Linked DNA regions of Neodiprion lecontei. The protein of the gene in region 1 purifies or fractionates together with the protein of each later gene. This does not show direct contact. Links are inferred from orthologs where the notes say so. Each region holds a gene or a part of one and is shown on either strand. Other genes may lie near its edges.

What was found. Proteins that work in one complex are often made in the same cells at the same time.
Region 2: the proteins of FAS-associated factor 2 (region 1) and derlin-2 purify together in Homo sapiens (affinity purification with mass spectrometry; 5 studies listed by BioGRID and IntAct, counting the BioPlex papers as one, with this or other methods). This does not show direct contact. The link is inferred for Neodiprion lecontei from reciprocal best matches to the Homo sapiens genes FAF2 and DERL2.
Region 3: the proteins of FAS-associated factor 2 (region 1) and nuclear protein localization protein 4 homolog purify together in Homo sapiens (affinity purification with mass spectrometry; 3 studies listed by BioGRID and IntAct, with this or other methods). This does not show direct contact. The link is inferred for Neodiprion lecontei from reciprocal best matches to the Homo sapiens genes FAF2 and NPLOC4.

What each region holds. Positions count from the first base shown.
Region 1 is NC_060260.1:29,803,410-29,811,834, reverse strand, and holds FAS-associated factor 2, read left to right. Parts: upstream 1-3,261; 5' UTR 3,262-3,756; coding exon 3,757-3,819; intron 3,820-3,900; coding exon 3,901-3,981; intron 3,982-4,124; coding exon 4,125-4,350; intron 4,351-4,539; coding exon 4,540-4,726; intron 4,727-5,088; coding exon 5,089-5,262; intron 5,263-5,702; coding exon 5,703-5,798; intron 5,799-6,333; coding exon 6,334-6,646; intron 6,647-6,880; coding exon 6,881-7,045; 3' UTR 7,046-7,177; downstream 7,178-8,425. Other genes in the region: NPC intracellular cholesterol transporter 1, read right to left, coding at 257-549, 865-1,216, 2,492-2,545. UniProt on the Homo sapiens protein: Plays an important role in endoplasmic reticulum-associated degradation (ERAD) that mediates ubiquitin-dependent degradation of misfolded endoplasmic reticulum proteins.
Region 2 is NC_060263.1:3,015,872-3,023,727, forward strand, and holds derlin-2, read right to left. Parts: upstream 4,556-7,856; 5' UTR 4,399-4,555; coding exon 4,306-4,398; intron 4,124-4,305; coding exon 4,058-4,123; intron 3,967-4,057; coding exon 3,799-3,966; intron 3,705-3,798; coding exon 3,582-3,704; intron 3,493-3,581; coding exon 3,329-3,492; intron 3,240-3,328; coding exon 3,137-3,239; 3' UTR 3,079-3,136; intron 1,813-3,078; exon of another isoform or gene 1,671-1,812; coding exon of another isoform or gene 1,621-1,670; intron 1,486-1,620; downstream 1-1,485. Other genes in the region: protein phosphatase PTC7 homolog, read left to right, coding at 437-616, 715-913, 1,229-1,485, 1,621-1,670; cytoplasmic phosphatidylinositol transfer protein 1, read left to right, coding at 4,715-4,758, 4,921-4,972, 5,284-5,432, 5,540-5,661, 5,810-5,817, 5,888-5,959, 6,040-6,138, 6,216-6,371 and 1 more.
Region 3 is NC_060264.1:8,318,833-8,326,141, forward strand, and holds the start of nuclear protein localization protein 4 homolog, read left to right. Parts: upstream 1-3,495; 5' UTR 3,496-3,562; coding exon 3,563-3,583; intron 3,584-3,926; coding exon 3,927-4,007; intron 4,008-4,473; coding exon 4,474-4,684; intron 4,685-5,145; coding exon 5,146-5,293; intron 5,294-5,487; coding exon 5,488-5,625; intron 5,626-5,781; coding exon 5,782-6,085; intron 6,086-6,208; coding exon 6,209-6,346; intron 6,347-6,465; coding exon 6,466-6,613; intron 6,614-6,792; coding exon 6,793-6,953; intron 6,954-7,107; exon of another isoform or gene 7,108-7,309. UniProt on the Homo sapiens protein: The ternary complex containing UFD1, VCP and NPLOC4 binds ubiquitinated proteins and is necessary for the export of misfolded proteins from the ER to the cytoplasm, where they are degraded by the proteasome.

The sequences.
Region 1 (8,425 bases):
GGGTTAATGTAGGAGTTTGCCTAGAAATTTGAAACATGTATACGTACGCAGCTCCAAATAGCGAAAAGTACTGATATCTCCGCAATATAATAGAAAGAAATTAAACATTTGCAAAAAAATATCAGTTTTTTGACTTTTTTTACATTCAAATTACCTCTGCACATGGTTTAAAATAATCTTGAGTATAAGATACATCTATGTGTGCCAGCCTTAAAACACCTATAAAATTTTATAAAGTAAACAATAAACTTCATACCTTTAATGGTTTACTACATGGTGTGGTAGAGATATTTAATGGATCAAATCCATGCTGTGGTACGTCGGTATTAATGTACATGATTTGGAATGGTGCATAACCGTCGTCACCAGCATCTCCCATAAAGTCAAACCACCTCTTGGGCGTACATTTGCTCGCTCCCCACGGAAGACACATAATGTCAAATACTAGTTCACCTGTGCTGGGATACGATACTCCCTTGCACGAATTGAAAGCACTATTTATGTAACGATCAGTTATGTAGACATCTATTTCATTAACGTAGGTTTTATCTATAAATGACACATAATGAGTATATTAATAATTGAACCGAATTCTCAAATTACACGAGCCTACATGAACTTTACTCCAGAAACTGAAGATTAAAAGAAAGGTTGTTTCATGCTGGATATATGGTTCATCATCTTAAAATTCGAGAAATTTGTATGCAATAAAAAAAAAAAAAAAACCCAACATTTATCGCATGTGATGAAAAGTTTGTCAATTGCTCTACATTCAACATCAAAAGCCCAATACAGAGAAATCATTATGATTGACCGATCAGTCTTCATTTGATAATGGTATTACTCAGTCGTAATTTAACTTACTATCGGCTGTTACATTGGTGCTCGTGACATCAATAAATTTACTCTGAAACGGGCTGCATGTAAATTCACATATGTGTTTAACCCAATTATTGAGACAGCTCGGACATCTTTGCAACAAGATAGCGCCCTGATTTACTTGGGTATTCAGGGTCGTCAATTGCTGCGGACTACAGCAAGTCGTTGTACCATTTTCTGTATTGTTTATAAGGTGCGAACACCATGTGGATAGAAGCTCCTGTCCAGTCTTATTCAATGGTTTCGCTTCTCCTGTATATAGGCAATTTAGCATACCTCTTGGGCCCTTATAACACTCATCATACCATATGCAGTGTCCATCATCAGTGCTAGATACCTTTTAGAAAAAGAATATACATACATGTGTTCAAGCCTTTTGATTCAGACGACAATTGAAAGATTTTTCGAATTTGCAATAGGGATATGTTCAAAGTATCATGTTTCTGCAAAATAGTTGATTATATGCATCGAATATTATTTCGGTACATAAATGCTTTGGTAAGGAGTCAACATCTCATATAGTGATACAATTTCACTATCCTATTAGAATGATATTAGAACGAAAGTTACGACACGTTGTTGTGTCAGAATATGATAACGACTATCGAGAAAAACCAAGTTTGATACGTTAATTAAATATTATGATATAACTGTGGAAATAAAACTTTCCACATCCAGAGTACATTAGAAGCCAAGCAAAGTTCAAAATCCATGAATTTTCGCTTGAAATATAAAAAAAAAAAAAATCAAGGTCGCAATAGTTATATATATACACGTCTGTTCGCATTCGAAAACCAGTTCTTAAAGTCAACTGAAACCTTACGAGCATTCCTGAGATTACCTTGGAATGAAAATCTTCCGAACGGCGTACTAGTTACTCTATAGGGGGACTCTACTTACTCTCTGTCATGTTTTTTTGTTACGATAATGTATGCACAATTATGCATATACCTATAATCGTGCGAAGTCGAGAAAACAAGTAATATATAATGTAGTCGCCAAAGCTTTGATAAATTGCCAGGGCATATTCCTAATTACAAAGTTGCTGCTTCGGCTCATTGGCGAAATTTGATACGATCTCACTGACGTTGAACTTGTGAAAAGTGACTAATCAAATAATCTACGGACTCGACGAGTCATTTTTAGACCATCGTAGGTACGCATTTATAATGTACACTCAGATAGAGTTATCGCAAATCGTATCAACGGCGTATTTATCTATCACGAATTTCTTGTATGCGAAGCATGTCATATTAATTGGAAATTGACGCCATATTATAATCATACAATGTCATAAGACAGTTGATACGGATGCAGGATTTGTTAGCGCAATGTACAGGGTTATGATGTACCGAAGCTAATTCAACGGTCTAAAGTCTTTAATGGACAATGCAGAGGAGGCAATTAGATTTAATAACCTCGTCAATGATCATCAATAAGCGTTTAAGACGATGAGGTGATGTGACGTCACGCACAAAGAAAAATATCCGACCGTTAGCGCCTTTTCTTCATCGTCATGGGTGTGGTGTGATAAAACAATAAATATATTATATATATGTGTGCGTGTGTATGTGCATACGTTACTTTAAGTAAGCAAATATTTGTTACGTACCACAACCAGCAATCCGGCAAATGCAAAAAGAAACGCCGAGGTTTTATCGAACATTTTTGCACCTGTCAAAGCCCAAGCGCTTGACGATGAAAGTCCACTCCGACTTCTTCTATTTCACTACTTGCCAATCTAGCATTTACTAATAATTGCCAGCTCCGGGCTTACAATAATAAGAACACGAACGTATCTATGTACTTTGGTACGTGTTAAATGTCTTTGACATATATCAATTTTTTTAAATACTTAATCACTGTACAACACAATCCTACGCACGTCAGTAACGATCAGTGCGTAAAAATATATTCACTAGGCGCTAATGTTTCACGCGAGTGGTCGCGACAACGCTTGCTACGCACGGAAACCACGAGTGAACTAAAATGAATCAATCGAGACTCGAACCTTCCTCGAGCGAGGGTCTGGGGGTCGAATCAACTCATCGACCGTTCGTCATTCGTCCAATCAGGATCGCTCTACCACGATTCTACTGCCGCTTAATGCATGAATCATGACATGCTGTGCTCGTGATTTTTGCAATATATTATACTATGCCATGAGGCGTTTGCAATGACATTTAAAAATAATTATATCTGAGTCCATCTCAGATGTTTTTTGTTCCAGCTTGGCCATGAAAAATTTGTTATATTTAATTGACAATTGCTAATTGGAAATATCCAGCCGTCCGCGGAAGTGCAATGGGAACATTGCGGTGGCGCATGACACAACAAAATTGCGATTTGAATCATAATCAAATAGAATAAACTTAAGTACTTGACTATGATATTCCAATTAAACAAAGCTGTGTAATCGTTGATTCGTAATTCGTCTTATCTCTCTGTTGGCTTAATTGTTTGCGCGCAAGTGTCGCAATTTGAAATAATCGAGTATGTATACATGTAATATGTATTGTATTGTAACCAGTGAGTCTCCCTCTGTAGTGTGCATAAAAAAACATTGGATAGATAGTCACTGAGGAACACTGGTCGAATAAATGCTCTAAAGCGTTGGAAACACGGAAGGCACTGCAAAGATGCGCGAAAGTGACTTGTGATCGTGCTTGTGATGATCCAGCGTAGCAAGACGTATTGAAATTAAGGTTAATTTTTTTCCCCATTCCCGAACTAACTACCCAAATGATCATTCGGTTAGCTGGTTGCTCAAGTTTTATAAGCGTCTCGTACTGTAGTTGATAAGCATTTGACAAAAAAAAAAGTTGAAAAGGCATACTTCATTACACAATTTTACACAAGTCAAAATCGAAACCAACCATGGCAGATCTTAGAATTGGAGAGTTATCTCCTGATCAAACAGAAAAAGTTCTTCAATTTCAGGTAAATTTCCTCCTTCATACTTGAACTTTTGTCAAAAACTTACCTATCGATAAGTTAATTACCGTCACCACATTTTTCTAGGACTTGACCGGTATCGATGATTTGTCTGTGTGTCAAGATGTTCTACATCGTCACAATTGGAACTTGGAAGTAGCTGTACAGGTACATTAAACTTGCAGATCATTCATTTTCCTGATTACTTATCGACCAGGAAGCATCTTTGTTTTAATAACTGTTTTTCTTTTTTGTCAACAATCTTAACCTCCAACCCGAGCCTTTATATTTATTACTCGATGAAAATCTAGGAGCAACTCAACCTGTACGAAGGAAGACCCTCCATGTATGCGCAAGATTCACGGTCTCGGCCACCGCCAGTCATTGATGATACGGGATTTCGAATTTATTTTAACCCTCCAAACACTTCGGATAATGGCGGCAGTTTATTCTCTTATATTTACACATTGTGGTGCAATATTGTCTCTAGTATCGGACAACTACTCCTTGCTATATTTCGCTCAGACATTAGACCTAGTAAGTGTAATCATAGTGAATTCCGTTAACTTATTGTTACTCTGTTGCGTAGTGATAAATCGCTAATACAAAGGTTGTGACTGCTGTCGACTTGTAACGTAGCAATCCAGGTTCATCTTTAAGATTCGACTAACATCATATGTCGCTGTGTTTTACAATAACTCCATAAAACCATTTACATATTCGCAGTATCCTCGGATCCTGTGGAGGATGTTGTAAATTTCATAAGAGTATATGAGGAGCGCTACGGAAATATCCATCCTGTATTTTATCAAGGATCCTACAGCCAAGCTATTTCTGATGCGAAACAGGAGCTCAGATTCTTACTAGTTTATTTACACAAAGACGAAGCTCAAGATATTGATCAATGGTGCAGGTAATCTTGGTTCACTGCTTGATTCGGATTTCTAACTTTCTTCCTGCGTGTGGATGATTTTCAATCACATAAATATTATCTCTTAGTGTCAAAGTAATTAACATGTGCAAGAGCCACGCTCACAATCTGAAGATCCCATATTTCCACTGATAATATCAAAGTTATATACTGAAGTGTTTATAAAGCACTTTCAAAAATGAAATTTTATTATTGCTGAACGTATAATGAAAGACATGCATACATGCCAAGCTATGGCATTTTCGTGATACTTAAAGCTCTTACACATCTCCGGTAGACTATATTCTATTCTGTAAGTTTTGCAGCCAGAAATAATATCTATCATATATTCATTTACTCCTCAGAAGGACTCTGGGCGATCCAGAGGTGGTGAGGTTTATCAATACGCGAACACTATTCTGGGCATGTAACGTCCAGTCTGGAGAAGGCTATAAGGTTTCAGAAGCTCTTAGGTCAGGCACTTACCCTTTCCTTGCCCTTATTGTTCTCAGGGATAACAGAATGACTATCGTTGGGCGGTGAGTGGTAAAACTACGACATATGTTACAGATTAATCATGCTGCCAGTACCTCTTAGTCAAACACATAACACAAATGCGCGTTATTGTGGTAGACTATATTTGGAATGTTCAAGACTGTTTTTGTATTTCATATAAAATAGCATCTGATAACAGATGACACATTTACCTTCAGCACCCATCAGTTATTAGGCACTATGTCATACTAAATAAAATGACACCAAAAATAGCTTAAAGGTTGATTCTACTTTAAGCACAATTTGAAGAATGGAGAATCCAGTTTATAAAAGTCACTAGCCTGTGCGTACCTTTATTTATGGGGAATTCACTCTCAACAAATAAATTACTTTGTCATACCGATTCAAATTAACTGTTAATTACACAGAATATCGGATAAATTTGAATTTTTCTATTAATCATGATATTATTAAATGATCTCAGCATGGAAGGTTCACCTACACCATCTGAACTGATTCCTCGCCTGCAAACTATTATGGAAAATAACGAAATCGGTCTTATTCAGGCAAGACAAGATAGGTAAGATATATCAATTGTACATACATATCCACTTATACCTGGTAAATTATAACAAATAACAAAGAAACCCGATCGAAAATTGCATGAAGTTGAAGTTAGTACCGTTATTGTAACGACACACTGAGAAAGAAATCACTGCCCCGCAACTTTAGAATGACTTCAAAGAAGTACAGTTTCCGAAATGGCTATGTTTTACTTTTCAATATGGTTTGCGCAATCTCTTGACAATCTCAAAATTGTGAGATAACAATTTTTCCTAAACATGCATCGTTATGTCAACGATATATGAACTTCAACCTTGCACCGCAAACCAATCTTATAAAATCAGATTGCAATTCTCTTTACCCAAAATCTTCTGATATTTGGATGCTTAAGGCTTTCAATGATTTCGTTATGCTTGCAAGTGTGAGTACAATAAGGGCCAGCCCGAATTGACAGCAGAGTTTATACTGTACTCAAAGGTCTAATCGGCAAAACTAGAATTCATAGAATTAAATATTATCAAATTAATTGTATATACTGTTACATTGTTCAGGGCAGAACGTAGTGCAACTCAGTCTCTGCGTCAGCAACAAGATGAAGCTTATGAAGAATCATTAAGAGCTGACCAAGAGAAGGACCGACGAAGAGAAGAGGAGCGAAGAGCAAAAGAAGAGAAAGAAGCCAAGGAAAAAGAAGAACTCAATGCTCAAGAGCGGGAAATTCAAAGAATTCGGCAAGAGAAAGAGCTCACAGTTAAGAAAGTTCCATTAGAGCCCAACCTTTCTAACCCTAATGTGTGTCATCTTCAAATAAAACTCGGCGAAAGAACTATGAAAAGAAGATTTCTATTGTCTGACACAACCGAGGTAAATTTTTTATTGAGATACGCATCACAGTCGTCCTAACTATGTCAGTAAAATATCATCAAATATCAACTATGTCAGTAAACACACATTGGAAGTACACAAAAAGATCCGTCACATAATATGATTATTATATGATGTGACCCTTTACATTGGTCCAAAAACTATGGACATTGACTATCTAATTGTAAGTTTATTTTGGAACATAATTCTCTTGAATTTTACTATTCATTTCAGGACGTGTACCATTGGATATTCTGTCAGCCAGATTCGCCAGCTAATTTTGAAATTACAACTAGTTACCCAAGAAGAATTCTTTATCCAGCCAACATTATACGGACATTGGGTGAAGCTGGATTAACACAGCGAGAAGTGCTACACGTTAATAATTTGGATGATTAACACTGACCAATATACCTACCTACATTCACTATTTTCGGTGTCACTCCGAGGAATGAATGATTCAGCGGAAAGAGACGTTTACTGAAAGATAATATATATTTGATACATTCTAGTATTTTACATACTACGCCACTGCTACACGGTAGTAAAAAAAAAAAAAAACTATCGAGAGATATATAATTATTGAAGATTTGAATATGTTAAGCTTTACAAAAAGCTTCTTAATATGTATAATATTTCTACAGAGATGTACTAAATTAATATAGTAGATACTTAACCATTTTTTCCTGCGTCACCTACAAGCGGATTTTTATACGTGATTCATTGGGTCACCTTGGTCTTTCTACAAATATGCTTCTGAACATCACAATCATTTCTATCTCGTAGGGAAAAAATTAATTTTGCACAGCTATGAATTAGTCAATTAAACCATTATGGAACATAATATATCACTCGATGCTTCGACCCATACAATAACGTATTGTTTCTCAGTTACTTCAAAATGAAATAGGCACCCATTTAAAAAGAAATCAGGGATATTGTGGAGGTTTAGGCTTAAGAAATACATGCGTTAATCGGCGAACACTATGGACTCGAAGTATAAAAGATGCAAGCTAGTCCTAATTAAGAAAAAGATACTTCAATTACTCAATCCTTATAACAAAATTATGTTATATTTAATAACGGCGGTACTCTTTACATCGAGTCTTATTATCGAACGTTATAGGCCTGATTTTAGATGAGATTTTACTTAAAATTATTGTACCGTAACATGCCTACGGAAAAGTATGTATGTAATTAAAAATTTACCGTATGAATAAAAACTGAAAGTTTTCATTGCAAATCTAGCAAAGTTCGAAAAGTATAATTTTATTCTACTATTTCAACATACGGGTTTTTACTCATTTTTACGCATGATAGAATAACCATATCAATTATCTACCCCTTGTAAGCTTGAATCACGAAGTCACTCAAATGCGTGAATCGACAGAACTTGCCGCAGTAATCGTTTACATTGGGTTACTTTTTTGTACCACCAGCGTCGCTAGTGTTCCTTTTGTACCGAAGTGTCATTAGTTGCAGAGATGTTCAAAGTCGACTAATCGATGACAGTGCTGCCAGAAAGCGAGTAAAAAGTATCCCTTCCCTAGCAGCTTGCGCGCATCTCACACAACGTCAACGGTGCACGTCGGTGTGTCGGGATGGCGACGGAAGCCGAACGATGCCGAGTCAGCTGACAAATCGAGGGGAAATGTTCCCCTACCAAGCAATGAAGAGAGCGCACACACACAACGTCACACAGCTGTGCGCGGGATCTGTGGAAGGGGTACTTTTTACTCGCTTTCTGGCAGCACTGATCGATGATCGTGCAATGTGATA
Region 2 (7,856 bases), on another chromosome or scaffold:
GACACTGTGGCAACCGTTCAAAACTTATAAATATTACCCGTCCTTCCCTCTACCTTAAATGCATGCTGCCAAAATTGACTCGCATTCACAAGTCAGTTTATTTTTAGTTTCTGTTGAAAAGAAACATCAAACGTTTGCGCGTGGCACGTGACCGATTCACAGATGCGATCCTGTGACCAGAGCATTATGTATAGATATATACTTGTCTCGTTACATAGCTATAATATTACACAAACACGATCGAATTAGATATGCACTATATTTCGGTGAACCATTTTTTCACCAGCTTGTCTGAATTGCTACTTATATTCCCGCAATAACTTTTTTTATTTTCAACCAACAAGAAATTGTAGCTCAGTATTGTACAAATAAAAATCCGACGTAGGACTTTCAATTGATAATTCTGAGTTTCCATTTAATTATTCGATTATACTAGGTGTCGCCGACGGCGTAGGTGGATGGAGACACTACGGAATTGACCCTGGAGAGTTTTCAAATTTTCTAATGAGAACCTGTGAAAGGCTAGTCACAATGGGCAGGTTTACCCCGTCAGAACCTGCAGGTTTACTGGCGCGTAGCTACTATGAGTTATTGGAAAACAAGCAGCCCATACCCGGTAAGGAATATTTAAAAAATATACGCAATAGAAATTGTCCAACTTTGGACTTCAAATTTAGACACTGATGCATCTTCTTTTAAACATATTAAATTTAGGCAGCAGCACCGCGTGCGTCATAGTATTAAATAAAGAGACCAGCAGCATTTATGCAGCTAATATAGGAGACAGCGGATTTGTGGTTGTCAGGAGAGGAGAAGTAGTGCATCGTTCATCGGAACAGCAGCACTACTTCAACACTCCGTTTCAATTGTCGTCACCACCTCCTGGCCACAGTGGGTTGGTACTTAGCGACAGGTGAGAGACAATTAATTTTTACTTGCAGTAACAACTAATTAGTTTTTCATTAATTGCCATTTCGAATCCCAAATACAGTTGACATAATAATTACACTTTGAATAATTATAAATAGGGTGCATTTATTCTCTATTATATGTTTATTCTTTTTTTTTTTCTTTCTCTTTTTAACAAACTTCACGTTATTTACAATTGGATTATAATTTTGGGATCTAAACTTTGAATACAAACAATTATATGCGTGTATGATATGCCGATTCCCTGCTAGAAGTTTGAACCCGACAATATTTTACAAGTTTAGTAATATTTTTATAGGCCCGAAGCTGCGGACACTTCCAGCTTTGGCGTGGAAGATGGGGATGTTATTCTTTTAGCAACTGACGGAGTTTTCGACAATGTACCTGACCAGTTGTTAGTCACCGAGATGCGCAAAGTCCAAGGAGAGCGTGATCCTACGAAATTGCAGGGTGTTGCCAATTCAATAGCCTGGATGGCCCGCAGTCTTGCGTTCGACGGGGCTTTTATGTCACCATTTGCCCAAAATGCTAGAGAAAATGGAATAGATGCTATAGGTTAGTACTGGGCATGAAATGCAGCCACCGCTTACTCTTGAACCAATTTCAACACGTACTTTGGTCTTGCGAAATTTTCATGCAATATTTTCACTTCAGAGAACATGAACAACAAAATATCATTGTTTGTTACAGGTGGTAAACCAGATGATATCACGGTGCTTCTAGCAACAGTGGCGATATAACTAAAAAATGTGTATAATAGAGCCCCGATCATTGTATTATAGTCCATGTCATTGCATATATGTATTAAGTTGCACATCATTCTATCCCAATATTATAACCCATTACTATTTAAATCTAAATAAATGATTTTTCAAATCATGATTCACTCTGATGAATTCATTTCAGACACATGGCTAACGTTTACTCTACAATGAACGTTCTACCAACGTAAATGAATAGTGGACAAAAGCGTTATTTAAATAGCTCATTCCGAAAGTCTGACAAATTGTTGAATTATTTCAAGTATTCAAGGAATAGCACTCTTGAAAACATGATAATAGACTTCGGTTAACTGTACATTCGAAAACGTTTGACGGCAAAAACAATATGTTTAGAGGTATCAATAAATTAAACGCTTACGATAATACTTAAATATTTTGAAAAGGTACTATTGATTGTACGAATATTAAAGCTGATCTTTGGGAAATGGTTTTAAGAATGTGAGAATTGGATGTATAATTTTCTGCACCGTATGTTTGATTTTAAGAAATCATAGTCATGGACCGTTGTTATTAATAAAATATACTGCTTACATTTGTAGCTGAGCCCCAATGGTTAATCGGAAAGATTCTACTTCTAGTTAGACATTATGCGCACGAGTTCACAACTATCATTATTAAAAGCCTTAGAAATGTTCTGACATTATCCGATGCAGAAACTTCTGAGTTCATTTCACCTGGAGAATTTTAATTGATACTTTATTTTTATAGCTAAATCACAGATAGTAAGACATTTTACACAAATATAAATATATTATGACGAAACTTACATAGACAATTGAGATGCAAACCAACGCTTGCCATGTTTTTAAACAGGTTTTTCAAACGACCATTCAAGTTTACTACCAACATCTAATTATATAATTTGAGAATTGCATGTATGATAAATTGCGAAAACTTGTTTTCTAATGCCTTTAATGTCATCTCACTATGGTAGCAGAGCATCGTTCGATCATTCAATCATACCTTTTACCATAACAACCTATGTTACTTGTACGTAAAATTAACTTGATAATTGGAATATAAGATTTTCCTTCCGATTGATCTAGTGATTCTAGAAGAGTGACGGCAGGAACTCATTCAAGTAGTTTTCTGTTATTACTCAATTTTTGAATAGCTTTAGAAAATGTCAATGCTGAATGAGATATTGCATAAGCACGGGTTTCTTGGTTTAAAAATTGTAAATATTCAGCAAAACCCCTCAAATCATTAAAGTTTGATGCATGCATAACAATTGCAACTGTTTCGAGTGGATATGCCATAGATACCCAGCACTTAAACTACAATTAAATATCTTCAAAAAATATGCAGCATTATGTCAAATTAAAGTAACTGTTATATACGACAAAAAAATAACTGAAGGATTTACTTGAAACGCTCGGGTGATGATAATAATGTGGTGTTAATTCGGCGAATTTGTCTGCGAATCATTGCACGTTAGCACCTTGACCCCAGTTAAAACCGCCCGGCCTATCCTCAGGTAACGGTGTGTAATTTGGATCCTCCGTATGTGCATCGAACAGAGTTTTTCTGAACACAGAAATTTATTATAAGAAGTATGACCTAACCTTTGGTGAGAGCCTTAATTTGAAGACAGTAGATAAATCTGAATAACTCACAATATCTGCGGGGTCTTGAGTATGCGAAAACCACCATTTTGTCGTGGAAATACATCTTCAGCAAAGTAGTACATGTGTCCTACTGCCATTCCGATCAAATCAACCCAAATTGCATTGCCTAATAGAACGGAGAATCCTAAGAGCACCCAAGGCAAGTATGGCGCCTATGTAGAACGGAAAAAATTACAATGCGTCTGTTACATCAAAATCGATATTCCTTCTATTTTTCCAATTTAATTATCTGCAAGCGTACTTGAAAGTTGAGGAGTCCAAAAAAGTTCATTCTGACAAAAGGATTCCGTCTTGACCATATATACACCAACATGATGGTGAGTGCTTGGCCAAGGAACAATAAATTAACGAAAAATGCGAATATCTGTAAGAATTTGAGGAATAATACTCAACTAGAGCAATGCGGATGATACAATAATAAAATAAAACGGAGACGAAAAGTTCATAGACAAGGATACAATCATGCAGATGCCACCAAATATGAACATCATAACAAAGTCGGCGGTTCTACCGCGGAACGAGACTTCTTCCAGCATCCGACAATAGCGATACGTAAATATCATATTGAAGAAGAAATTGAATCCAACCGTCCCGAAGAATAGGAAAGTTGTGATCAGTCGCCATAACTGCAAAGGTATAATTAACAAGAGAGAGATATTAACTCACCGTGGAACGATATTTATATTTTCTAACGTAGAAACTGATTGAGAAAATTACCTGATATTGTTTCAGTATTAAAATCGGATTGAAGTATAATTGGAATGGAGAGACGAGGTCCAATTGCTGTAAGAAAAAGAATAAAAATTTAATTTGACACAAATTTAACCTCGCAGTAATGACGAACGTTTTGTCAATACTGAAAAGTGCAGTAATCACGGGGGTAACATGGAATCTGAATAATATCGAGAATCGAGTGAACTCTGACGGAAAATTTTGTACGAAGATAATAAAATACGTATGTATACCACGGCTAGAGTCGTGATGACACAAGCAGTCGTATACGCTCGTGTCACCACGGGCATTTGCAGGTATTCCTGCCTAAACGTTTGATAAGCCATTTAACGACGGTTATATTTCTACCCTCTGACAGGCTATTCTCTTTCCTATTTTACAGTTGCATGTCGTTCATCCTTTCGCGTTATCATAACGTAATCATTGTCCACATCACAGAAAAACTTGTCAGTCACTTCAATTTGGTACACGTAATATAAATATACACGTATGTACGTACATACATTACGTGTGCAGTGTGTGGCAATGCGAAGTGAGCTGCATATCAGATATCAGCTGTAACGATGTATCGATGCTTTTCAGATGGGGTAAGCGCGGCTTGAAGTAGGCTGCATTTTCGTCCTATTCGCGTTTGTTTATCTTATGGTGTTTCGTCGTCTATGGTTTGTCCCATCAAAGCAGACCACGTATGTTGTACTTGCGGTATACATAGTTTCGAAAATTGTATCTCGCTATAAATTTTCCCAATTTACATTACGATTTTATAACTGAAAAATATTAATTTCACATTGGAGGATTAACTTCTAATCTTGTCAGATTAAATATAACTTATAACTTGTCGTGATTAGAATGGTGTTGACCAAGGAATATCGGATATGCATGCCGTTTACCACGGACGAGGTAATGAGATTATAATTTTAAATTCTTTTTTCAATTATGCACGAATCAATTATGAATAAAATCACTGTTACAACGATTATAGGCAATTCTATATAAACATGTTGATTTGCGTATATTATTATATTTAATTTGGATGAATAATCGCACAATCAATCGAATATATTTATCCAAATATGATGCATCGGCAATCATTCCTTCGCGAGTGAGAATTCAAATATCGGTTCACGTAACAAGGACCTAGTTACAGTATTTGCCAAGTAATGTTGGAGAAAATAAAATTCCAAAATTTCTCTCATCGTTTATCATTTTAGTATCAAATCGGACAATTGTATATGATTGCGCGACACAGTCACGAGCAATCTGATTCCGATGAAGGTGTCGAAGTTATTGAGACGTCGCCGTGCGAACATGCCACTCATGGAACAGGTCAATTTACTGAGAAGAGGATTCATCTTTCAAAGTAATATATTCTTGATCCATGGATAATGAAGCAGTTTTCTATATCGTTTTCAATCTTCCATGCCTTTATGTTATTTCAACCGTTATTGTTCTCCTCCTTCATTTCAGTAAACTACCGTATTGGATCCAATCATTTGTACCGAAGATATTTTACATTACTGAAAAAGCTTGGAACTACTATCCTTTCACAATTACGGGTGAGATGTTTCAACTTTTGTTGGAAATTAAAGGTGATTCAATTCAAATCTGCAACGAATCACTCCCAAGTACCTTAGAACATATAAACCATACCCTATTTGTTTTGGAACACTTTTCCATTCCCTGCAAATAAAATAATATGTAATATTTTGTTACATGGGGCAATGGTGATCTTCACAGTTTACACAGTGAGTATTATGCATTAAATTTCATTAAAATTCCATTATGCATTGTACAACGGGTGTATTTGTATTTCAGTGTTCGTTCATACCCACATTTCACATATCTATCAATACTAGATACGAAAACAACAATGGCTCAAATGAAAACGTGAGTTATTCACTTGTAATATTGAATGATATATATGTCACCGTTTCAATCATTGATTCTAATATCTAGTCAATGGGTAGTGCTTAGATTTAACTCCTGTGGAACTTATTCATCGGGAAGTTGATTATATTGACATCGCATATGATGAAATAGCTGCCAAGCACTACAAAGAGGAGGAGGTATGTTTCCTGCACTTTTAGCGTCTGTCATACGTTATTCGCATTAGACTGAATGCAATTCTTCATTTTCTACTCAGGATCCAAAATACTTTAAATCGAAAGTAACTGGACGAGGTCCTCTCGTTGAAGGATGGAGAGATGTTACGCAGCCTATAATGTGCTCGTATAAATTGGTTCAGGCTTCGTTCGATGTCTGGGGAATGCGGACACGAGTCGAGGAGTTTATTCACAGAGTGAGAAATTACTTCCCTCCGATTGTCGATTAGAATTCTAGCCAAAGGCTGCACAGTCAATCCCAACACTCAGCTGTGCAAATAACTGATTTTCAAAAATATTTTACAGTGTATAAGGGATATTCTTTTACTTGGACATCGACAAGCCTTTGCGTGGATAGACGATTGGTACGGAATGACACTGGAAGACGTACGGCAATACGAGTCGAACATGCAAACGGAAACCAACAATAAAGTCAACGTCAAGCCTACTGAACCTGTGTTGCCCACCACACCTACTACACCTTCAACCTCTGTTCCGTCATCGCCTAACCAAGAAACTGCAAAGGAAGCAGTAAATCGTTCATGGTTCTCCTGGTCATAGCCCGAACGAAACCTCTTACAAAATGTATCGAGATTTGTAGCCAGCAATCGCCACACCTCGATCATTTACATTCTAAAAATAACGAGTATATTATTGTATTTACTATCGACGAACCGGGAACCGTTCGGGTGTTCGTATACAACACGCAATGCACAATTTGATATTTGTAAAAAGTTCAATTTTTTCCCTGTCAAAAAATTGATTAATTTCCAAGTATCCAAGCAATCAAAATAATCTGTGAGATGTATACTTTTCACGTAAATTAACACACGGATTTTATTGTAGTCAAAATGTAGTGCAATGTATAGTTAGACTAGCGAGGTGTTGATTGTTTTATGCAATTGTAAGGCCATGCGGATGTAAATTCGCTACCAGTATAAATACAATCTTCGTGACGTCGATCTTGCCGGTATTCCTTGTTCGTACTAGAATTGAACATAGTTTCACAATAATGTCCTTTCTTGTGAATGTTATTCAGGATAAGTATTTTTGTCGTTTACAATAACAATAACGCAAATTGATCGTTCCTTTTAATTTAATTTAAAAATCAAAATATACAATATTAGCCTACGCAATGTTATACCTATAATCGCGTTTCTGTGTGTTACGGTGTTAATATAAATTAAATATTATTTCACTGTTAGTCTTTTTTTTTTCTTTTTCTTTCATTCCAACAGCAACTTGCAGACCACGACTGTTACCAAAATCTTTCCTCGATTACGTGAATGTGCTTGTACAATGTCACAAGAAGAATTTACAGTATTCTAAAACAAGTGTAGAAAAAACAAAAAGAAAAACCTTTATCAGCTGTATTTCACGTCAATAAAAATTTGAATTTATTATTTTACTGCTGCTATTTTTTCACCATTAGTGAAATAAATCACTGGTTAAATAAGTATTTTTATCCATGATCTGGTGTATCTGGTGTCATCAACTAAATATATCCTGTTTTGTCGAATCGAAATTACAGTCAGTCGATATGAAGACGAAAATAGTATATTCTGCAACGAGTGGGCAAAAATGACGATTCTGATCGTGAGTAAGTGTGAAGTTAGCCGTACCAGCCGAAGTCGAGTGCGGATATAATACGAATTACGAACTGAGAATCGTCGTTGCACACG
Region 3 (7,309 bases), on another chromosome or scaffold:
AGAGGAATATGTATAGAATAACTGGACGCAGTTTCCGAAATGGTAAAAACCCCCTCAGTCACGATCTTAAACAAGTAAGAGAATCTGTACAATGTTTGATAACAATCTTTATACTGACAAAGAATGACACCGTCATTAATCAATCGAGTGACATACCTTGTTCGGTGAATATTCGAGTTCTAACGAATTATGAGACGAAGATGATGACGATGACGATGACCTGAGAATGATTGTCACTCGATGATAGTGTCAGTGATGGCGCGCGATGAAGTCCGGTTTCTTATGGTATCTACCCCCGAGTGCAGGTGGTGTACAGTGAAAATTAAGGAATAGTCTTGGGACTGAGCGTGCGCTGACCCTCCTGGCAACGGATGAAGCCAGTCGGTGCAGTTCGCAGGCGGCAGACCTGTTGCCGCGAAGACGCGGGGCGAGCTTGAAAGGCAACCACACTCCACCGGTACCACCCGACAAATACCATCTTTCCAGAGAAATAACAAGGTGGAGAGCCAAGCTGCGAAGTAAAGGACGGTGCGGTTACACACTCGACACTTCCACCTGCCAACCCACGGTATTCTTGGGGCACAGAGCGTCGCTCCGATTCCCTACCTACATTTCTCTCCCTAATAATAGATCCCTAGTATTTTCCACTCTCTACATACGCCTCTTCGTTGTTCCTTGTAGACAAGGGTTACCTACGCGCCACTCGATGACGGTAGCGATCATCGGGATATAATTCCACTACAATCGCAAACCAGGCTTTGATCTTCCCACTTCGCACTAATTCGCTATTATAACGACGCGTAGATTCGAATTTTGAATTGGAAAAACTGGGGTGACCTTGCGCGTAGAAAACCTTGCGTCTTTCTCTTAAGAAAAGTAAACGCGTCACAAGTATAATCTTGCACACATATATATATTATATGTGCGGGGAATATAATACGCAGCTACGTCTGCGGATGGGATATCGGGAAATGTTCTCTGTCGCAATCGCGTAATTTCAATTATATGTGGATAAAGGAAACGACGAAAGTTCAATTTTATTCAATTAAATTCAAGTATGCAAACATGTTTCATGTTGTTTACCGAATTACAAATTTTGAGTTTCGATATTGACGTAGATCACTTATTTCGCATCGGTATATTAATGATAGTTAGACACGTGGCGGATACATGTCTGTTGAATCGTAACAAGAATTTTATGGCGTTATATAGCTAGAAGTCACGAGGTATTGTATACGTATATAAACGCCTGAGCGAGCGCAATACGGCTTGCAAAATTGGCTGACAGGTTGTTTGCGTGCAGGAGTAATGACACAATCATTCATGAACTACGTCATAGTGTGATGTAGGCGAGTGGTGAAATTTATATTTTGGATCAGTAACGAAATCTTTGAAGTTCTTTTCGGCCATAGCGATAGAAACAGAGATAAAAAAAAGATCGCGTGAAATGGTTTCGTCATTCATTTCCATTGTGGTTTAGGACTTCATTTTTTAAACCAATTTCTTGCGAAGGATCGGATATTTAACGAGAAGACATGAGAGGTAAAAACACGTAAAGTCACATTTAGTAACTTGCAGGAGGGGTGTTTGGTATAACGGAAAAGTACGAAAGTCGAAATCTCGCGGTTACTAAGTGTTTAGCTTAATGATCACGCACCGCAGATAATGCGAGATGCATAGAAATACAGGACAATTTGTTTTACGCAGTTACTTCATTTCAAAACATTGACTAATCATATTATTATACTTGCCAGTATTAAGCTTAAAAACACCGTGCTTTATACAACACTAGCACAACGTGAAAACAAAAATAATAATAACAACGATTATAATCCAAATGTGAAATGATGTATAGAGAATAAAGAGGTAACTCGTTAATGCCGGACACATCCTGACACCCAGATGAACTATTAATTAACTGCCAAACTGATCGATTGTTATTCTTATTATATGTGTTTATTTTTATAACACAATATGCGTACATGCAATTATAATTACGCACGCAATGATCATACAACATTACACACAAATGTGCATACATGTGTGTGTCAATGTGTTGTCTATGCTTCCGTCTATGTATACACAGAGTAGATGTAACATAAATATAGCCGTACTATGTATACAGATTCTTAAGTCAACGTGTAGTGCAACCTGTTTAAGAATGTATCGGACCGGGTGTACAGTCTAATCGGAAAACTGTCCGAGGAGAGAAAACGAAATTAAACATCCGTTTAGAAGGTGCGACTGAAACTGATGTAGTTGAATTCGACGAAAGACGAATATTCCTCTGACGTAGAAGAAAAAATTTCTTTTTTACGAAATCCCGCGAATTTGAGTCGAAACGTCTGATTATCAGCTGCACTTTCGTGCAAATTTTTTTGGGGAATGCTTGATATAAATGTCTCATAGAATTCATTATATTCTTCAACGAAGCATAAATTTATCGTTTTCTGCTTATCAATGCAGTTTTGTCAGAATATTTTTTGATTAATTAATGATAATAATGAAAATTGGACAAAAGATTATATAGATTTGGTATAGAATGTTGCGATAATAATAATATAGATATAGGGTTTTTATCATTACTGCGTGATGTCGAGAGGATATATAATCTTTTCAATCAATTTCAAATTTATCGTTTAACTTCGCAGTTTAAGTTCGCAGATTTGGAATCTAATTTATTACGAGGTTGAAGTTGGTAACGTTATCGTAACGGAACATCGTGAAAAACTTCACTACTTCGCAATTTTAACACGAACTTGAAAAACTAATATTTATCATAAGAGTTATATCTTGTTTTGTTAAGGTTTACTAATTTTATACTATACCATGGTCACGAAACAACAGTTTTTCGCTAACATGAACCGTTACGACAATGTTGCTAACTTCAACATGATAATTTATTATATTTCACAGTTTTTTGTTTTCAAATGTTTTTCGACCAGACTGTACCGCATACTATACGTATATCGACGTATCCTATTCCATTCCTTTTTTTTCCCTTCTCTCTATCGACTAAAATACGCGAATGCAGATTCGCAGACTGAAAAATATATTAGCTGGCGATGATTTTCTATGAGAAATGGGGTGAAACGGCGAGAGTTACCGACGAAAATTCGGATCATCTAGAAGAAGCGGGGCCCTCCTCTTTTTATTGAGCCTGCACGCGGCTGGTACGCGAGTGTCAGTGGCTCCTTGACGACGAGAATAGAGTCGAGTCGTCGACTCGGGTGAAATATCTCTCAATTTATCGTTTAAAAAGTTGTTGCGCGCGGTTAGGCAGAGGAATATTAACCGATTATCGTGGACTCTGATGAACGGCGATAAAATAAAGGGGGTAACGTAACTGGTTATGTGCGATCGCGAGTGATAATTATAAGTACAAAACTTACCGTGTAGTAATACTTTAGCGTAGAGAGGTTATGGGCACGTAAGGTTGACTCGGCAGTTTTTCCACAGCTGACTAGGGATTTTGATCGGGCTTTGTTAACACAGGCAAGCCTTGTGGCAGCGGGCTCGAAACTCTCTCTCGAACAGCTGATGCTTCTGGAATACCGGCGAAATGTCAAAATCAACGCTAATTGTAAGTCTATTTGAATCCGCACCGTCACCTATGACTCAAACAACCGACAAATTAAGTCGCCCACTATACCGATAACCGTAGATATTTATTAGCCGTAACCTTTTCATTCCCCCCGACCCACGCCGCGTTTTGCGCCTTTGTCATTACCTACGATGGGGAAAAATATAATACGTACATGTCTATGCATATAATATATGTATAATACATTGTTGAAATATTCAAGAACAGTAACGAAAGTATTTTCTTCTCTTTTTTAACCTAAAGGGAAAAAATACTGTTAATTTATTTCACTGCGATGCTAATTACTTTCATGCAACCCCTTATTTTGTCATTCAATTTTCAGACTCTCAGAGTTCAATCACCCGAAGGCACCAAACGGATAGAAGTGAGACCGACTGATACAGTCCGTGATCTCTTTGAAAAGGTTTGACTTATTTGGCAATTTATTTTGCAAAAGAAATTACTAATAATAAGGTATTTTGTACTTCTGCTTGTTATTTGTAAGAGCAGATTGCAATTCTCATAATTTTTCTTTACTCGCAAATTCATTGCAAGTTGTCGCTGTAAATGCTAGCCTTTGTGACTTAAAATAAGTGAAACCACTGGCTCAAGTTTGTGCGTACAGTTTATCATGCTTGAGCTGAGAGCCATCTATTGTCGGTAAAGATAACACATTTTTCTCTAGTCATTGTTCTTGAAATATTTTTTAAATACTGTCTATTCTAGTGACGAAGCAATGCGTGATTCAATGATAACAACAGATTTGGAAAGAACTGGTCACGATTTAGTTATTGAAAACATTATACAGCGAATCAGAGTTTGCTTAGAAGTACTTGGATTAATGATGTTGTCTTTACGGTGTCACCATCAATTCAATTCTCATGTTTTAGGTACATGATACGTTTAACTTGGACAGCTTTAGTTTTGGATTATATAAACTAAAAAATCACAAGGATGAACTCGTATCTTCTCGAAGCAAAACAGTCCTTGGAACAGGATTGTCTCACGGCGATATGGTCTACCTTGTGCCCCTCAATGGCACAGTATTACGGCCACAGGATGGACCATCGACTAGTAGTGCCTCCATAAATATTCCTGCCGGTAATCTTCACTAAGATGTTATAAGTATAAATTATAATAATTGCCAGCAGTACTTTGGTATAACTTCGCTTGATGTAAACTGGAAGCTCGTCGCTGTACAACATAGTTTAAGAATTTTTAAACAATCAATACAATGGGTGAAGAATAGATTTGTTATACTTGCTCTTATTTGTAGGACTTATAGTTAATATCGATCGTCGCACAATGTAAAAGCATTTTGAGCAGTAAGTTAAGAATGAATTTTTCAAGTACTAAATCAGATTGAAGTTCGTAACGCTATAGTAATGATGCATCAGCAGTAAACCGTAATATAGCATTTACAAACTCAGATCTTGTGAATTCAACTCCTCTAGTTATACCGAAACTGTGAAATAGTTAATTTTGTTTCAACATTTTGTTATGTTAATGTTACCAACTGCGGCCTCATAACATTCAATCCTAATAAGGTTAACTGATCTTAGCAGAACCAATGCCGAGTACGAGCAGATTATCGCAGGGATCTATGGCCATCAATTCATCTCGACCTCTTGCCAGTGTCACGGAAGATGAAGTAGATCAACAACTGTGGAAGCTTGATGGCAAGATACAGCAGAAGCGTGACGAGAAATTGTGAGTCTAATGTATGATTATCATTCACATCGCCTATCCGTTTGATTCCTTTTCTACAAATGTACCCCTGAGCGCTCAAAGGTCAATTTTGAGAGATTAGATCGACTTTAAGTGAAAAGAAATTCAGAAATTTTCTAAGTTAAGACGAGTACTCGATTAATATCTATTGCTATTCATGATCCTAATATTTACAGATGCCGCCATGGTGCAAACGGGTGCTGCGTGCACTGCTCACCATTAGAACCATTTGATGAAGCATACCTCAAGGAACAAAACATCAAGCATTTATCATTCCACTCGTACCTCAGAAAGCTCACAGCTGGGGTTGATAGGTATGTCATTACGTAGAGAGTTCGATGTTGAAGTCAAGCTGTGACACTAAAAATATTTGGAAGTCATAATTATAATGTTACAACTGATAGAAGTAAGTGAATTTTTAGAAATGAAACGGCATTATAATTTAATTTAAAACTTATCATCTTTCACAGAGGGAAATTTCTTCAACTGGAGGACATAAGTTGTCGCATAAAGACAGGCTGCAAAGATCACCCACCATGGCCTCGTGGGATTTGCAGTAAATGTCAGCCCAACGCTATCACGTTGAATCGGCAACAGTATCGTCACGTTGATAACGTCATGTTTGAGAATGCTAGTCTAGTGGAGCGCTTTTTGAACTACTGGCGTAGTACCGGACATCAACGTGTTGGTTACCTCTATGGTAGATATGAAATACACTCAGACGTACCCCTAGGCATTAGGGCTGTAGTTGCTGCAATATACGAACCTCCACAAGTAAGTTGTTCAATATTCGTAAGAACAATTCGAATGATCTTCGACTTTAGTAACATATTAAAGCTCTTCAAATCACAAAACTTATATTTATTTTATCTACAAATGGCTTATAATTCCTCTCAGGACAGCACGAGAGATACTGTATCTCTCCTACCAGATCCAAGACAAGAATTAGTCGACGAACTTGCTCGACTTCTTGGTTTGCAAAGAGTGGGGTGGATATTCACAGATTTAATTGCTGAAGATGTCAAAAAAGGCACGGTACGTATTGGCTGACGTCCAAGCTTTAATTTTCATTTTGAAACAAACGCCGCGACAAGATCTGTGGATAATGCGTTATTCAAAAATAATTAATTGCATATGAATGTGTATTTTTCCAGGTGAAACACGTCAGAAATATAGACAGTCACTTTTTATCAGCACAAGAGTGTATTATGGCAGGATACTTTCAAAACCAGCATCCGAATCCATGCCGTTTTTCACCGAGTGGTTATTTTGGCTCAAAGTTCGTCACAGTCTGTGTCACAGGTAATGTATAATTATTAACAATATATTAATCAGAGTGTTTATCACGCTTGCTGTATTATTCGGTACAATATGGTATAAATTTACTGCAGTGCACCTCCTAGTAAATCAGAGCCTTTCGTTTTACATTGCAATCAAAAACTGTTCTCAGAATATTCTTTACCTTTTCCTTTGATCTCCAGGTGACGATAAGAATCAAGTGCACATGGAAGGATACGAAGTCTCTAATCAGTGCATGGCATTGGTACGTGATGGGTGTCTAGTCCCAACCAAGGATGCGCAGGAGCTTGGCTACGTTATTGAGTCCACAGATAAGCAATATGTTCCTGATGTTTACTATAAGGTAAGTGACAACTTCCTCTTCTTTTGAATTGCCCTTATTGAATTTTATGAAATGTTGTAAGGTTTCTTGGGTGGGTAAATTCAATTTCAGCTGTTTTCCAATATTCGTTTAAACAATAAAATAATATATATGGAGTGAGAAATTAATTGCGGTATTAAGTTTCCGTCACGTACTTATTTTATTTTCAAACATTTTTTTTCGCGCACATATACATTGGATGGTTCACATGTTTTACAATGATGAGGTCGTCTAACATTAATTTTTATAATCACCGTTTATTCTCGTTAAAAAGTAAATCGCCAATTACAGCATCATTGAAATGCTCACAATCCTTCGGTTATACGATCTTCAACGAT